Linked DNA regions of Neurospora crassa OR74A. The protein of the gene in region 1 purifies or fractionates together with the protein of each later gene. This does not show direct contact. Links are inferred from orthologs where the notes say so. Each region holds a gene or a part of one and is shown on either strand. Other genes may lie near its edges.

Evidence for each region. Proteins that work in one complex are often made in the same cells at the same time.
Region 2: the proteins of NCU06994 (region 1) and NCU07832 purify together in Schizosaccharomyces pombe (affinity purification with mass spectrometry; 3 studies listed by BioGRID, with this or other methods). This does not show direct contact. The link is inferred for Neurospora crassa OR74A from reciprocal best matches to the Schizosaccharomyces pombe genes cdc5 and spp42.

What each region holds. Positions count from the first base shown.
Region 1 is NC_026504.1:4,814,686-4,820,801, forward strand, and holds NCU06994 (pre-mRNA-splicing factor cef-1), read left to right. Parts: upstream 1-2,160; 5' UTR 2,161-2,323; coding exon 2,324-4,324; intron 4,325-4,391; coding exon 4,392-4,730; 3' UTR 4,731-4,982; downstream 4,983-6,116. Other genes in the region: NCU06993 (Ash2-trithorax family protein), read right to left, coding at 1-977, 1,055-1,509; NCU06995 (hypothetical protein), read right to left, coding at 5,443-5,496, 5,643-6,116. UniProt on the Schizosaccharomyces pombe protein: Involved in mRNA splicing and cell cycle control.
Region 2 is NC_026503.1:1,009,287-1,014,215, reverse strand, and holds part of NCU07832 (pre-mRNA processing splicing factor 8), read right to left. Parts: coding exon 1,962-4,929; intron 1,885-1,961; coding exon 1-1,884.

The sequences.
Region 1 (6,116 bases):
CAGGTGGTGGGAACCAGAAGTCTGGGCCAAAGTTCACCTCGACGGCGCCACCGCGGAAAACACTTACGGCTGGGTAGTATCCGACAGTTCCGTCGTCGAGAGCTTCTCTGCCGGCATGTGCCCCTGACTGAGTACTTTGTTTTGATGCGGGTGGTAGGAAGGCGAAGAGGTCAGTCCAAGGCGTGCCCATGTCCTTTCCATTTTTGTAAATCTTGATGTACGAGTTCGGCAGCGTCCGTAGCGACGGCAATGGGTGATTTGGGTTCGGCGGTTCCGGCGAGTTTGAGCTTGCCGATGCTACCGGCGCGGGACTGAACAAGTCTTCCAGCTCCTTGGTTGTGTGGTAGTCAATCTTCTCAAAGTAAATGTGTTGTTTGAACCGAATGGGGATCCGGTCCCGGATGATGTTGGGTGCCTCGAGCGATGGTTCGTCGTCTGCCAAGTCGACCGCAGGGTTATAATGCCCCGTTACAATCTTCCTGTGTAAATGTTCCGAAGGCAGCTGGATCTCCAGCCCGATCACATCTCCTTCTTTGATCTCCTCGCCAGGCGGGAAGAAGTCTTTCGGCCGTGACATGTGCACCTTTTGTCCAGCCACGTCTCGAATACCATAACTGTAGCAATCGAACCCGACGGGGGCGTCGAGAGAAGCCTCACGCCGCGCCCAGCCCACGCGAACGTGCCCATGCGCCTTGGTATCACCTTCGGAACCTGGCTCGCGCAGGGTGCCTCGAGTGACCTTGCACTCCCAATACCACCTGCCCTCTCGCACGGCCACGTTGGCTCGTGACATACGGAAGCCCTTGTCGGTGGTGACATGACGACCCTGTCGGTCAAAGTATACGTGGGAGGCAGAGTCCTCGAAGGCCATGTGGGCAGCGTACGGCTCGGTCTCGGTCTGGCGATAGTAGAACATGGAAGGAAACGTTGGGTCGGCTATACAGTGAGTGTAATGGAACGCTCGCTTGTTGAAGACACTGTAGGAAAAAGGCAAATCAGAATATGCTCCGCATGAATGGAGAATGGCGAAGGAGCAAATATAGATAAGACATACTGTTCGGTTGCATCAAAGAATTCGATGGTCTCGCCCTCGGGCCCTTGAACCTCATGATGGCTGGTGAAGACGGGACCGCGCGCGGGCTCGAAATCAGTAAGTTTGGGCGGAGCGAGCTTATAGCGCGCGGGGAGCAATTCGTTGATCAAGGGCTCTTTGTGTTGCTGCTTCGGGTCTGGAGTTGCTCTAGAACTATCGGAACCGCCTGCTGCTGCCTTGGCCTCCCTCTTCTTGAAGGAGTCCTTCTTTGTTCTCTTTTCGCGGTTTAGAACGGCTGCTTGCTGGGTGTCTTCGGGTGCCTGTATTTGGACTCTTGGAGCGGCCTTGTTATCTGGGTTTAGGGGTGATGGAACTGCTGGACTGTGGTCGTCTTCGAGCGTGCGCTTCTGAGGGATCGTCGTGGCAGCTCCGGAAGGTGTTTGCTCCCTTCGGGGAGAGCCTACGTCGCTGGCCATATGTAGCTCGGCAGACGTCGTGCTAGCAGTAACGTTGACAAATATTTAACTAAGTGATTAGTTTTGCTTTCGCAAGCTGTCCTTGTCCTGAAGTCGACTTGTGTTTGGACTCGAACGGCGAGCACTCCAAGTCCAAAGTAGGTACCGACGGGAGCTCTTCTGATCGACGACAGCTTATGGATGCTAAGAATAATCTGAGAATTGCCCGATGGTGATCCTACGGGTAAATGCTTTGGTACTCGGAGAAGACGCGTACTTTTGGAGAGCGCAATTGGGTTAAAGAGTCCAGTTTCGGAGCGATTTGATGTTCTTTCTGGGGATTTCTGTAAAGAGTTGAGAAATGTAAGAGGAAAGAAAGACATGTGAACCAGAAATGGTGGATGGAAGCTTCATCCACTCGACCAACAGCAGCAGCGTGTCGCGACAAAAGGGCGGGGCATCCTTCTGTTAGTGGTTAACGGCAGGCAGGGGTCCCGGAGCTTGGCTCGCTTGTTAGTTACCACATGCATGGGACACAAAAATGCTAACAGCGCGGGAACCTGTTGCCTGCCGCAAAAAGGTCTTGAGGTTGGCTAGCGCTTGACAGTTGATACTGGGAAAGACGCCAAGGCAGTTGCGTCGCGGGTGATTCCATTGTTCGCCTTGACGCCAGCGCTTTGAATTTCTGGATTTCTTCCCCATCAACACAACAACATTTCAACACTTTCAATTCCAATTCCAAGACAACCCCAACCCCGAGTGTCCTCCCACCTACCGGAACGACTCCCGCATCACTACAACGCCCGACGAGTATCCATAACGGCCGAGCGACAAGATGCCCGTCGTCAAGGGAGGTGTGTGGACCAACATCGAGGATGAAATCCTCAAGGCGTCGGTCAGCAAGTACGGCCTGAACCAGTGGGCCCGCGTCTCGTCGCTGCTGGCCCGCAAGACGCCCAAGCAGTGCAAGGCAAGATGGAACGAATGGCTGGATCCCAGCATCAAGAAGATCGAATGGAGCAAGGAGGAGGATGAGAAGCTGCTGCACCTCGCCAAGCTGATGCCGACCCAATGGCGTACCATTGCCCCCATCGTTGGAAGAACCGCAAACCAGTGCCTGGAAAGATACCAAAGACTTCTCGACGAAGCTGAGCAGAGGGAGGCGTCCGCTCTTGGGCTGACGGGCCCTGATGGAGGCGAAGCTCACGCGCCCAGCGCCGACGATGTTCGCAAACTACGTCCTGGCGAGGTCGACCCCGATCCGGAGACGAAACCCGCCCGTCCCGACACCATCGATCTCGATGAAGATGAGAAAGAAATGTTGAGCGAGGCTCGCGCGCGTCTGGCCAACACACAGGGTAAAAAGGCCAAGCGAAAGGCCCGTGAGCGACAGCAGGAGGAGTCACGCCGACTGGCCGCTCTCCAGAAGCGTCGCGAGTTGAAGACAGCCGGTATCAACATCAAGGTTACGACAAAGAAGCAGGGCCAGATGGACTACAATGCCGATATTCCATTCGAAAAGAAGCCTGTTCCCGGATTCTATGACACCACCGAGGAGATGTCTCGCAACGAGTACCAGCGCGCCCATTTCGACCCCAAGAAGCAGCAGGTTGGGAACAAGCGCAAGGGTGAAGAGGACGAGAGAGACGGCAAGAGGAGAAAGGGCGACAAGGACCCATCTGTGCAAGCCGCCCTCAAGGCCGGTCAACTGCAGAAGATGCGCGAGGCAGAACAGAGCAGCAAGCGGAGGGCTTTGGTCCTGCCAGCACCTCAGGTCGGCGAAGGCGAGTTGGAGGAAATTGTGAAGATGGGCATGATTGGCGAACGGGCAAATATGCTGGCTCGCGAAAGCGACAACGACGCAACTCGTGGCCTGATCAACAACTACTCGACACTCAACACCAATGCGCCAATCCGAACACCGATGGCCCCCGCTCAGGAAGACCACATCGCAAACGAGATCCGCAACATCCGAGCACTAACAGAGACGCAATCCTCGCTGCTCGGTGGAGAGAACACACCTCTACACCAGGGGGTGGGCTCTACCGGCTTCGAGTCGGTTGCGCCGCGGAAGCAGGTCATGTCAACCCCTAACCCCTTAGCCACCCCTTTGCGGGCAGCTGGAGCTGGTCCTGGCGCCACGCCCCTCCGCGTCGGCCAAACACCACTGCGCACTCCCCGTGATACATTTGCTCTCAATGATGCCGGTGACGAAATGTCCATGGTGGGCGGCACACCCCGAGATGTTAAGATGCGCGAGATGTCTATTCGGCACCAGCTCAAGCAAGGCCTCGCGTCTCTTCCCAAGCCCAAAGAGACCGAGTGGGAGCTCGAGCTGCCGGACGATCAGCAAGAGCCCAAGACCGCTGAGCAGCTGGAGGAGGATGCTGCTGAACGTGATCGACGAGAAAGGGAGATCAGGGAGGCGCGAGAGCTGTTGGAGCGCAAGAGACGTACCCAGGTCATGCAGCGGGATCTGCCTCGGCCTGTCCAAGTCGATTATCAGTCACTCTTGAAGGAAGCCTCGCAGGCCGAGGACCCTGTCAAGGTTCTCATCGCTCGTGAAGCGGCCTTGCTCGTAGCTCATGATGCCACCAAGTATCCTCTACCGGGAGCTCAGCCAACTGGCCGGGCACTGGAGATCCAGAAAATCGACGACGCCGCGTTGCAAGAGGCCAAGCTTCAGGTTCTGATGGAAATCAAGGATAAACCAAAGCCGGAAGAAGTTCAAGCGGTGTGGGAAAAGAGCAACAGCAGCTCCCTTTTGCTTGGGCTGGGATGCTATGAGGACGATGAAGAAGAAGAGCAGATTTCCACTATGCAAATTGCGCTTGAGGTATGTACAACTAACCCCTTTTCTGCCTCCTGCCTTCCGAAGGCTTACTGGCTAACCTAACCTGCAGGAGGTCATTGACCAAATCGTCGCCTCGGCAGAGAAGGGCAACAAGCTCGAGAAGAAGCTCAACCTGCATCTTGGCGGTTACAAGAATCGGGCTGAAATGCTGCGGAAGAAGATCAGTGAGGCTCACGAGGCGTTGGAGAAGGCGAACAACGCTCTGGGCGCTTTCAAGGTCCTCCAGTCCTCGGAGCAGGCCGCTATTCGGAACCGGCTGGCGGCGCTGCGTGAGGAGGTGGGCTTTGTGAGCACGAGGGAGAGAGAGGCGCAGGAGTTATACAGGAGGACGAGGGAAGAGCTGGATGCTTTGACGCTCAACGGGCCGAAGGCCAATGGGTTCCGCTGAATGATGTGTTGGAAGAGTGTGGTCAGGTTGTGAATAATTGAGTGTTGGTTAAACTCTGGCATGGCATGGTATGTCTGGCAACTGTCTGTGGAATGGCCACTGACGTCGAGCAGCTCAAAATAAGAAGCATTGAACATTATTATGTACTTGGAGGACGTCTCTCGATGCACCGTGTGAATATGTATAGTACGATGACCAACCTCCCTCTCAATATCAGTGAATTCTTCTCCTACGAGATTCTCACAACCCAGGGGCTTGGTAAGCGGGAGCCAAGGTGAACGCCAAATGCGAGTCATATCATATACACTGCAAAAAGCTTACCGGGGAGCGACGAAGCTTGTCTTCACTGGCAATCAGTCTGTACCGAGCTGTTCATTCAATCTCTCCTATCTCTCTCTCTGCTCTGTGTCTTTTTCTTCCCTCCCTCTTCTGGGAATGCATCCCTCCCTCTCCCTCTCTCTACCCTACACAAAACCAGACCAAAACAAAACAAAACAAAACAAAACAAAGACGCTCGCAGTAAATTTCCCCCAAAGCTAAGCCAAAATATGAAAAAAATTTTGCCATCCATCCCTCCAACGCCTTGCCTATATCTATCCCCTCTCTATCCTCTATTCTATCCTCTATCCCGTCCGCCCGTCTACCCTCATGAGCTTCGTTTTGCCAATCGGTCGTCGTCATCCTCTTCACTCTTCACTCTTCCTGAGTCCCCTCACTTGACGCAGGCGGAGGAGGTCTCATCGTAACCACCACCACCAGCAAAACACTAGCCACCACCATCCCAGCCAAAAAACAAGCAAAAATCAAGCGGCGTAAGAAAAGGCTGCGCGAGCGATGATGATGATGATGATGGGGTGAAGAAGTGGTCCGAGATGATGGGTGGTGGTGACCTGCGTCTGCTGAGGAATAAACCAACACGTCGTCGGCTGCTATAAGGGGAGTAGTCTCATCAGGCTTGGGCATGATGAACTGGTGCTGGGAGAAGAGATCCACGGCAGCGGCGGAGGTGGCGGCGGCGACGGCGTCTTGATCTTGTTCATGTTGCCGTTGTGGTTGTCCTTCATGCCGGCTACCACTAATGGTTGACGCATCATCGTCCTCGTCATCCTCCTCGTCATCGCTATCATCGGTTGACGTGGTATAAGACCCCGTAGTTGTAGATTCTTTCCGTCTTCGCCATGGTTGGGGAAGCGAGACGCTGTTCCGGACACCCTGAAACCGTGCAATCTGGCTGTAGTAGGATGAGTCAGGCGCTATGGACGAAGATGGGCCGAAAGATGGAAAGGGGCGGGTGTCGAGTGCTCCTGAGCGGACTGATGAGGCTTCGGCGTCGTCGTCTGTGAGCCATGAGGATGATGGTGGAGCTGGTGGTGCTGCTGCTGTAGG
Region 2 (4,929 bases), on another chromosome or scaffold:
CACCGATCTGAGGCACCATGACGATGCACTTGATCTCCTTGACCTGGTCGTTGTCGGCGGGCGAGGCACCGTAGAGGTAACCGGCGACTTGGACACGGAGATCGGCAATGGCGATGAAGCGCTTGAGGATGTTCTTGGGCATGACATAGGTCACGTCGTCCAGGTCACTATCCACGGGCGACACGTACATGTTGTTAGCCCTGGTGCGTAGGTTCGAGGTGGCGATGGCTCTGGTGCGCCACTCGGTCTTGGAGGCGAACGTCTGCTGTTCGAACTGCGAAGTGGTCGTCACAATGATCTCCTCGCCGTGCACGTTCTGCGTCTTGGTAGTGACGGCGGTGAGCTGCTGCTGCTCTTGCTGCTGCTTCTCAATCTCCGCCGCCTGCTGCCTCTGCAGCGAGGGGGCTGAGATCTCCATACCAAGAATGATATCACGGACTTCACTGCTAGTTAAACTGGACACATTGACATTGTTCTTCTTGCCGTAGTCGTTGAGGATAAGATCGCGGAGCTGCGTTTCAACCTTGATCCAGTCTTCATCGGAGAGCGAGGGCCAGATGTGATGATCCTGCGTGATGACGGTCTTGTCGGGGCGCAAGATGAGCTTCGTCTTATCCTGGTTAACGTGCAGGGCACGCAGGATGAGAATGAGACGGGAGAAGGCAGTGTAGGAAGAGATGCTCTTCAGCCACTCGTCGTAGAGATTGAACAAGACCATCTGCGGCTCGGTGGCACGCAAGATCATGTCACCCAGTTTTTCGACCTTCATGGCGGCCTGGAAGGGAAGCTGCAACTCGGACGCGCGGATGGAGATGTTGGGGAAATCAAGCAAATTGACTTCCAAAGGATCCAACAGACCCTTTCTGGTGACGATCAGTTGCTTTGGCTGCTCTTCGACGGGTAGCGATCTGATAAGGGCTGCGACTTCTTCGGCAGTCTTCCACTTGGCCAACTGTCCCAAACGCTTCTGACCCGCCCAAACGCTGGTGTGGATAATCTTCAAGAACAACTGACCGGTACGCGGGTTGAAGATGAAGATGGCACCGTTGATCGGCTTGGTCGTCAAGTTACCTTCGAAGGTCTTGTGGATGGTAACACGGTAGACGTTAGTATCATCGATAAAGAGCTGAGTCTGGTTGCTGAACAGCTCCGAGTAGTTCTGCGAATTCAGGAACTCCTGGTTGCTCTCGGAGGCGTAGAGCTGCAGACCCTTGCGGATACGCTCACGAAGAACGTAGAGCGCAGGGTTTGCCTTCATGATCTTGCCCATAGCCTGCTGGATCAAGAGCTTCAAGCCTGGGAAGTATTGACCGTAGGCAGAGTACAAGTTGTAAGCCAGATCGATGCCAATCATGAGACCGGTAGGAGATGGGTAAAGACTCATGCTGTCGGTGGTGTAGTCCAGATACTTGGCCCTGACGTATCTCTCAATATCGTGAGAGTCGTAGTCACCATAGCGAAGCTGAACATCAATCCAAAACTTGTTCGTCGTAGTAGACTCGATGACATCCTTGGTATCGAAAAGGAGCGATGGGCGAGTAACGTTCCATTTGTGGCTGGCAAAGAGCTGGATATCCGCGCAGGAGCTGTTCATCTTGTAAGATTTTCTGGGATGAATGGTTTCCTTTTGAACCGATTCGATGCTTAGAGCCTCAAGCTCCTGATCGAAGACCTGGCAAAGATCCATGACCACTGACTCGTGGATCTTCTGCCACAGATGAGCTCGGAAGATCTGGATCAGGGAGATCTTGAGAGTAGGAATCTTGCCGTGCAAGAAGATACCAGTTAGATCCAACTGCACTTGGAAACCGACGTAGACATTGGCTCTGTTGATGGTAGGCGACCACCAAAGCGTGAAACGACGATTAGGAATCTGGTTGAGACCTGCGTATTTCAAAGTCAGTATTTGTGCGTGCATATGATGATGAATTCATGCTAGAGAAATGGTATGTTGAACTTACCGCTCCTCTGGGCATTTGTCAACTTCTTGAACTTCATCGACTCCTCGAAACCACTGGCCTTCTCCCAGAAGAGACCTTCCCAAGACGGGAAACCAGTTGCCTTGAACAAGGTATGCTCCAAGATGGTTTCGACACCACCAAGCGCCTGGATGACATCGGTACGGTATGCGTTAAGGTTCCAAAGTTTACCGTCATGCCTCTGGCTTGTCCACCAGAAGGGATTGCTCTTCATCAACTGATAGATCTTGAACTCGGAACGGGCACGGAAACCCTTGTCGAAGCTTAACGTGCTACGGTCCTTTTGAAAAAGAGTGTTTATACGGGGCAGACCGCGATCCCAGCTGTCCTCCAGATCCTCTAGGGTCAATCTGCGGTTCTGCTGGTTGGCCTCGAGACGCTTCTGCGAGTATTCCGTCCACACACGCTGGGAGTCGATAAACTCAGCTTCCCACGGGATGATGTAGCGGAAGATGTTGGGGATCAGCGTTTCCTCATCGTGCGACATGCCCGCACGGTAATGAGTAACTCCGAGATCTGTCTGTTTAGACCAGCGCTTGTCGCTAGTAGGGATAAGGATGTGTGATCCGGAAATCATACCCAAGCCACCAAGCTCCTTGGGAGTGTAGAAAACGGCAGGAGGGAAACGGGAAGGCATCTTGGAGTTGAGACCAATTTTGACACGAGTCTGGATTTTGGTTTCACACTTGACAATCGTGTCAAGCAGGTTCACGGTCGAAACAGCAGCCTCGCGGTAGTAAGTAAAGAGGGCAATCAGCGCCGTGTTCCACTTGTTAGCAATCTTGGTGAATGTGGTCGAGCCAGACGACATGAGAATCTGACGGATCCTGTTATTGAATTTCTGAATGTCCTCTTCGGTAACTTGTAGGAAAGCGTGAGCGGTGCGTTCCTTGGTCGTGTTGTCCACTAGTGACCAGACACTGTCTTTCACAGGGAACTCATCGTTCTGGTTGCGGATCTTGGGCAAGATGCGCACTTCGAAGCCGCACATGGAGAACAGGAGGTTCGGGTTATCCCTGCTGTACACGCTGGCGAAGGTGTCTTCCCATTCAATCGTCGTCACGGATCTTGGGAGGCGGTTCTTGAGATCCCAGAACACAGCTCTGCCGAGGTTGACGTCGTGCCTCATGAGACGCATACGCGAATCTCTGGGCCAGCACTTCTTGCTCTTGTAACCAATCACGTTCTCGAAGTTGGGATCAGGCTGCTCTGTCAAGAATCGCTGGATCAGGTCGCGAGATTCATCCGCGGTGAACCTCAAGAACACCCAGATCTTGTCGATGTACCTGGTGTACAACCTAATCGGGTGTCTTGTTTCAGTCTCCCGGTCCTTGAACTGAAGGAAGTCATTGGGTGCGTGGGGAGGACCGGCAATCTCGCTGGCACGCTGCGGGCCAAGCAACAGCAAATCGAGAATGAGACCATAGTACTGGAAAACGAAGGCTGAGAACTGCAGGCCACGAATCATACCATAGCTGTTGACATGGTTCATGTCCTTGTAAGTTAGGGTAACGTTATTCTTGGCCGTGATGTAGTCCGCAAGGTTGTGGTCCATTATCAACCGAAGAAGCGAGTTGAGCAAGGTCAGCTCAATCTTCTCGTAGACCTTGGAGAGCTGCGTCTCGATCATGACATTGCACTCGCCATTCGCGGTCTCCCAAACCCTGTCGAGGTTGTTAATGCCTTGAGCCCACTTGTACACAAGCAAAGGTGGCACCTCCGAATCGGAAGGCTTAATCCAAGCGGGGAACAGATGGCGCTGGTCAGCTTGATACCACAAGTACTGGTCGAGATAAGCATCGCTAATCTTCTCGATCGGTTCAATATCATAGACCGGGTTGATGGTGCTGTAGTTGTCGTTCATATCGATGCCGACTTCCTTGAAAGCTCTTTGAGTGAGTAGGAAGCGTTTGATACGCTCGAGGGTAGTGCCTGGACTGTCATATGCCTGCTCAATCAAGGCCAACTCCTCACGCTGACTCTGGTTCAATCTTCCCTTGGTCGAGTAAGCCTCACGTAGGCGCTCCAGCGCCAAGATAAGGATCTTGGTGTCATGCTTGTAAGACACACTGGGGAAGGGGATGGGAGAGAATTTTCTCGATTCAAGCCAGTGCACCGTAGTAGTGTAAATGGCAACAGCCTCCTCAGAAGAGACGTAGGGACCATCCTTCATGTGGTTGTGCTGGCGTTCTTGCTCGGCCTTGAGCCACAGACGCGTTAGGCGGCCAACGTTCTTCTTAGCAACGGTCTTATCGACGGTGGCACCCCGACGAATACGCTCCCGGTTGTAATGAGCAACCGAAATCCACCAATCGGCCTTGGACTTGACGTAACGCAGAATGATGTTCTCAATAGCTGCGGGAAGTCCAGGAACCTTCCAAGGAATGTTACTCTTCCAGCATCTCCAGGCCTCAGAAAGATGTTGAAGAACCGTGTTGACCTTGCTCTGCTTGATACCTTCCGGCATCATGTCCAGCAGATCAGCCATGACGGAAGCACGAAGCTCGAGATCGAAGTGAGATTCAACACGCTGCTTGGTAACGGTCTTGGCAACTCCCTTGCTGTGGCGACCTTCGAACTGACGGGAAAGGAGGTTGCCAAGCCATCTTTCAAGAAGGGGAATGATACCGCGCATGAAGAAGAGCCACACACGCCATGCCGGCGCCCAGAAACCGCAGCCTGGACCCTTGCCAACCGGGCCGGCGTTGAAGCGATAGTAGATGAGATGCTTGAGATCCTTGCAGGAACGGATCTGGTGCATCAACTTGTACTTGTAACGATACATACCGGTCAACTGTCCGACATGGTTGAAGGCATACAGAATACCATCGGCAAGCTGGAAGGCGTCAATGTTGCCAAGACGGTACTGTACCTGGGCATCGACAATGAGCTTGGTCAAGCGCAGAATTTCACGCATAAGATGGAAGGCATTTCCGAATCTAGACTTCTT